Linked DNA regions of Xenopus tropicalis. The protein of the gene in region 1 binds, or shares a complex with, the protein of each later gene. Links are inferred from orthologs where the notes say so. Each region holds a gene or a part of one and is shown on either strand. Other genes may lie near its edges.

Region 1 (2,290 bases):
CCAAAGAGTAGTGATGAGCGAAATTTTTGGCAAGGCATGGATTTGCGGCAAATTTCTGCGTTTCGCTATTAGCGGATTTTTTTGCAAAAGGCCGCAAACGATTTGCTGCAGAAAAATTTGCGCAGTGATTGTAATTGATTACCTTATATTCCAGGTTGGTGCTCCTGTTAGCAGAAAACCACACCAGCCTGGAGTAGCTGTGAGAGAGTGGTGTGGTTTTCTCCTAACAGGACCACCAACCTGTGGTATAAGGTAAGCGATTACAATCACGGGGGGGGTGTCTAACATTTTGGCACCCCCCAAGTGATTTTACCTTTCATTCTCCTTGTCTATTTAATGTCAAGCAGTTAATATACTTTAGCAAAAGTGACCCAGGCCTTACCTGACTTTAAGGTCACCCCCACTTCAAAGAGTAATGCAGAGCAACTGTTCCGAGCTGCTGTAGATTACCTGTGAGCTATTCCATCCCCTTTCCGTGCTAAATCCATCTGCAGCAGGATCACCTCCTAACACCAAATTTGCAAATTTTGTCAGCCCACTTTGGCTATATAACCCGCTGGTGCTGTGCCAGGGCTGCCCAGTGTATGAGCCCACCTTTAGATTTAGCAAATGCTAAGAGAGACGTTGTATGTGGTGGGGTTGATAAAGGGGAGAAGTAGCAGGGTTCATTGAGTGGAGAGGTGATTGAAAGACTGGCAGAAAGGTGAGACGATGGAGAGGACGTGAGGGAGAGAAAAGTGGTACTGCTATTGGCACAGGCTACCGGGACTCATTTTTTGCAGGTACCAAACTATAGGTTCCAGCCTATTTTCATCAATTTGCCGGCTAAGGAAATCCTTACATGGGTACCTTAGAATGGACACTGGGTAGCCTGAAATCCGTTGCTGATCTATCCATGCATGCAAAGGGCAGTAGGCTGGTGGTAGTTTTAGTTGTCTAAAAAACTTAAATATGTTTAAATTTATATGTTATATCTATATAAAATATACATACGTGTATATTTTTATCTGCAGCTGTATGTTATTTCTCTTTTTTTTTTTTAGGATGGTTCTCCCTGCTGGACGTTAATTTAACAAACAACTCAGTAATTGTTTTTTCCACTTCAATTTGCAATTCCCCATAAATTGAATTTCTGTGCCTTTGCATGAGCTGGCAGCATCGCTATAAAGAGATAATTAGTGCTAACAATTGTTTCCATTTTGCAGTGGATGTACATTATTCCCGTCGTGTTGTTCTTAATGATGTCTGGAGCGTCTGACGCTGGCAACCAAGGAGGCAATGGTGGAGGAGGCGGTGGCAGTGGGGGAGGAAGGTGATTGCTATGAATGGAACCTTGATGTCCCCTTTGAGAATACACTGGCAGCCTTTATCACAGCTGGCTATCACCAGTGCATGTGAACTGCATTATTTTGTTACATGGAGCACAGCATTCCATTTGCCACCATCTGCAAGAAGAGAGATTCAATGGATTTGATTGAAACTAAACCTAAAATGCAACTTTCTTTTTATGAAAATGCTCCCAGTAGTAGTCACAAATATATATACATGCAAAGGTATCAGGAGCTTGGGAGGATACTGCAGTATGGATGGGGTCGTAGGGATCATTTGTCTACTAAAGGACACATCAAGTGTGTCTCCTACTCACAACTGAATACTTGCTCTTTGCTACATAGTAACTGTATACACATTTGTCAGAGAATATATATTTGTGAATGAGATGCATTTTCATATGGGCTCAACTTGGATTTTAGTTTTAATGATGCATTAATTTATTAAAAACTTTGGAATTATTTGGTGTGTGGTTCGGTGTGTATTGTTGGAATGGACAGATATAAAACTATGCTGAGTTTGACAGACTGACATCTGGAGCCATCGCAGGGAGAATGATGCTATTGATAATTAACCTATTAATTGAACTTTTTTTTTACTATAATGATTCAGTATATGAAATCCCAGGTTCTTACTATTTGTATGTTCCAGAAAATACTAAAAAAAAAAAATCTAATATATGAAAGGATACTGAGAGTTCAGCAAGCTAGTTGGGCATTCCTGAATAAAATTGTGACATTAAAAGGATTGTTGATTTTTATTTTGATATATACAATGATATGAGACAATTTGTAATTGGTTTACATTTTTTATTATTGGTTTTTGACTTATTTACCTCTTTGTTCAGCAACTCTCTAGTTAACCTGAAGATGAGCCATCTTTTTAAGATTTCTTTTTGCCCTTTGTCTCTTTCTTTGTTTTTTTGGGCTGATGAAGTTGAACTTTATCACAAACTATTTCC
Region 2 (4,300 bases), on another chromosome or scaffold:
AAAAATCAGCCAGATAAAAATTGGGCAGGTTTCATTTTCCAGGCTGCTATGGAATAAGGTGGCCTTACATGGGCAGATTTAAGCTGTCATTCAAGTCCTTCAGACCATTTCGGCTGCTTATCTGCCCATGTCAAAAATTGGGTTAGGTGTCAATTGGACAGGTCTGATTTTCCTGTCGGACCAGGGACTGCTTTGTATCATTGAAATGGTCCTCACTGTTATGGCTCCTATACCCAGAATTGTAATTAGCCAAACGGATCGTACGGTGTATGGCCACCCTTACTGCATTGGGGTAAAGTTGCTCCAAAGACAGGAAGCTGCACACAGAGACAGCAGAAAATCTGTGCATGGTAAAGAGCACATGGTAAAATCTAAAGTAAATGATGCGCAAAACCTCAATCTGCACAAAACAACACTGACAAAGGGGTACAGACAAAAAGTATTTGCATAGCTTATTACCTGGTGTCTCTCAGGCCAGAGTTTGCTTGGTAATAACCAGCAATTACCAGTCCTTGGAGAGCACTCCATGAATCGATCTGTATCACAGTAAGAGAGAAAAAAAGAGAGAGAAAGCTACAAGTGTTTGGAACAGTGTGAAAGCACTTTGGAATGGCAAAGAGTGCCCATAGAATGGTTACATACCTGTGTTAGAGCCACTTCTAAACTGAGAGACAAAGGCAGATAAAGGTGACAGATTGGGATACAGTCACTCAGGGTGACACATCCATGTGATTTGTGACCCAGGAGAGCCCCACACACGGTACTGTGAGGATAGCGTGCCGCATGCAGAAGCATCTTGACATAAACACGAGTGGTGAACTCAACTTCACACATTTTCCTACAAAGCATGGAACAAATAAAGAGTGCACGGTAGAATCTAAAGCAAATTATGCACAAAACTTCAATTTCTGCAAGATCTGTGCTTGAATAAAAGGTCACTTGTAATACATCAAAGAAGAAATAAAATTAAATTCCCTGGGGTGTGCCAATATGTTACACAACTACAATATTCTAATTGCTAACCTGCTAACCCAGGCCAGTGCTCCTGTTCTTCAAAAAACTACATTGCTTGGGGCCTCCTTCTTCTTCCATCAGCTTCTGCTGATTTATGTACTGCAAATGTGCTCAGGTTCAAGAGGTACAGGGATTTTGGGGACAGCAAAGAAGGTGGTGGCGCAGCACCCTACGTTGGTTTCAAGTCATTTGTTAGATTAAAGGAAAAGAAAGACAAATTCACTGGGGGGGTACCCATATGTTAAGCACCCCCTTATGAATGTAATCACTAATTGTTCCCCTCCCAAGCCTGCCCCTTTTTGGAAAAGAAGTGCACCTACCCAGGGAAATAAGTTGCATAATGTTTGCTGGCATTTTTCTTAACTTTCCTGTGCACCGCTAACTCAGGCTCAACAATGTTTGATTGTTTCTAATGTGCAAGTCTAAAGGTGGCTATACATGGTAAGATTAACTTATGTGGCGAGGTTGCCAAACATGCTAATCTTTTCCCCCAATATACCCACCAGTATGCAATGTTGTGCTAAAACGACTGCATTGCAATGAAGGGGATAGAAAAAGTAAGAGAGAGAACCACATCAATAAACCAATGTGGTCGGGGAGGCCTGTTGGAGGACCTCACATACAGGGAGATAAGCTGCTAAATCAGTCTGAAGGACTTGCATTGGCAGCTTACATCTGCCTGTGTATGGCCACCTTAATGCTAATACCACATGTTTATTTGCAGGCCAAAAATTAGCCCCTATGCCTGCACCTGGAGCCATTGCATCAGCCTGGGTGCAGTTACAGGGGGTAGATTTAGAAGGTATAATGCATACTTGCAACTGTGAAAAATAAGAAACATGGTGGTGAGTCAAATTCATTCTGCATTTTGCAAGTTTAATATATAAATAAGTACAGACTGGCATGTTTTATATATAAACACTCTGTAATACTGTAGTAACACTATAAAGGGGATGTCCTGAACCATATCTGATATTTTTTCCCCCCCCTTAATCATATAAGGTGTAAATGTAGTAATATATGCAGAATGTATATATTCTGCATATAAGACTACATTTAGAACCCACAGGTATATTGGCCGGAAGCAGTATATAATTGATATATCATTCAGTGTCGGCCTGCTGCCACACCACTCCATGCACCCTGGTCCTTACCTTGCAAGACAGACCTTGCCATCCCCTGCGCATTTGCATGCCGTGTTGCATTACTTCAGTGGCTGCGTGGAACGCACAAGTCCAAGACAGGGAGTGGACCTGGGCCGGCAGGGCCCACAAGAGCTAGGGCCCACCTGTTTTTTTCCCGGTGTCCCACCAGCCCAGTCCAACCCTGATATTATTTGTATAGCTATAATAAGTAGATATGGGTGCCCATGAAATAAAAAGCCCACTTCTATCTTGGTCATATATCACTAAATGGATCTGAAGTGCTGCTAATAGGGTGTAACCAGTAAGATGCAGGAATAAACAGTTATACTTAGTTATTATAGGGCTTAACACATTTGTTCATTTATTAAGAGCCCATACAGTGATCTATCAAAGTGAAGGGATATAATCCCTACAGAAGCAGTATTACATGATGCAGAGAAAGAGGTACCCACCCAAACTGAATAATGAGAAGCTTGCTTTTACCCTGCTCTTGCACCAACTCTCCTACAGCAGCAGAATCCCAGTCAGCATAGGCAGAGTCAGCTTCCTATCCGGCAGAGGGACCATGAAAGGGTGACACTGTACCACGTGACTGATAGGAACTGGAGGGCGGGGCCGTCCCTGCAAACAGGAAGTAATGGGATCATTAAGGGGGTGTTAGCTGTTTTCATCCAGCTTTGTAGTGGCACGGAGCCGAGGTGGTCGATTGCTGTGTCCAGCTGCGCAGCGTGTTATTATTAGAGATTGCTGGGGACTGTCAGAAGGGACAGCATGCACAGGGTGTCTTTTTTAATACGGATTACACCACAGACTTTTTGCTCGGTGCTTGAGTGTTAGCATTCCATCCCACCTTTCTGCATTTTGGCCCATCAAACCTTATTCTGCCCCAGCCAGGTTTCAGGCTTTTCAGCCTAGCCTTGATTCTGTTGTTCAGTGTTTCATTAACTCCAATACAAAAACACTTAAGTGCTTCATCTGATTAATTAATTAAAACATAGCTTTTATTTCATCTTAAAGTTAAAAAGTGAATTTCATATGATAAAAAAATAGTTACATAAGTTACAAAAGATATATTTACACATTCATTAGTCTTTGTTAGTTGTCTTAATAATCAATAATAGATTGATATTAATCATTATGCATGATCAGTTATCTTATAAATTGCAAGGAAAAAATTCAAGGGGGTGAAAATCATTGAGGTAGAAGTTCACTATAATATTTACACTTATTTACAGGGTAAGTTACATTTCATTAGTCTCATGCATCATCACAGGAGATATAGATCTATGTATCCCATAGCACTGGCTTCCTAGTAGTAAAATTAGCCAGATGCAGTAAAGGGAAGAGGGGGGAGGGATTGGTGCATGCACTAGATCAGTAGAGTCTGAAATCACCGTAGTTACACAGTCAAACCAACCTCCATAAACAGTCTATTGTACTAAAGCCCCTCTTTCACTTCCATTGCCAAAAAAGTATCCACCTCATTGAGGTTACATAGGGGACTAAGTACTGATCAAATGGGAGGTTGCCATGCGCTCTCCTCACAACCTTCCACCTTCCACAAACAGTTTTTATCACAGTTTCTGTGCAGATTCTTTCCCTCCCCCTAAAGCTGGCCATACACGTGGTGATCTGACGATGTTTATATGACCGATGGTCGCACGAAACATCGTCAGATCCGCCACACACAGTCAGGGCTGAAACAGCAGATAAGGAGGTAGAAACAATAGGATTTCTACCTCCTTCTGCCGATTCAGCCCTGACGGCAGATTTTGGTCAGGCGCCTTCTATGGCGCCCGATCAAAATTTTCTAACCTGGCCGATCGGTGAGTCGTCCGATATCAGCAGTTTCCTGCGATATCGGTCGACTCGCCAACATGCCATACACGCACCGAATATCGTACGAAACAAGGTTTCGTACGATAGTATCGGTGCGTGTATGGCCAGCTTAACACAAACACCGGCGATGCTAATCGGCTCTCAGAGCAGCTACCCTCCCATTCATCATCCAGCCCTCTCTCCCTCCTGTGCTTACTCTCCGGTAGTGCCAGCTGCGGCTATCAAGAGCCGCCTCGTCTGGAAGTAATTAGTATACAGCCTTTCTCTCTGAACTACCTCAAAGTCACACCCTCACCTGCCCG

What was found. Proteins that work in one complex are often made in the same cells at the same time.
Region 2: emc10 (region 1) and emc9 share a complex: the UniProt entries of both Homo sapiens proteins name them as parts of the ER membrane protein complex. The link is inferred for Xenopus tropicalis from reciprocal best matches to the Homo sapiens genes EMC10 and EMC9.

Annotation. Positions count from the first base shown.
Region 1 is NC_030683.2:110,440,453-110,442,742, reverse strand, and holds the end of emc10 (ER membrane protein complex subunit 10 precursor), read left to right. Parts: intron 1-1,205; coding exon 1,206-1,316; 3' UTR 1,317-1,790; downstream 1,791-2,290. UniProt on the Homo sapiens protein: Part of the endoplasmic reticulum membrane protein complex (EMC) that enables the energy-independent insertion into endoplasmic reticulum membranes of newly synthesized membrane proteins.
Region 2 is NC_030677.2:139,430,987-139,435,286, reverse strand, and holds the start of emc9 (ER membrane protein complex subunit 9), read right to left. Parts: upstream 2,801-4,300; 5' UTR 2,643-2,800; exon of another isoform or gene 2,612-2,642; intron 2,606-2,611; exon of another isoform or gene 2,169-2,605; intron 839-2,168; 5' UTR 835-838; coding exon 643-834; intron 537-642; coding exon 460-536; intron 1-459. UniProt on the Homo sapiens protein: Part of the endoplasmic reticulum membrane protein complex (EMC) that enables the energy-independent insertion into endoplasmic reticulum membranes of newly synthesized membrane proteins.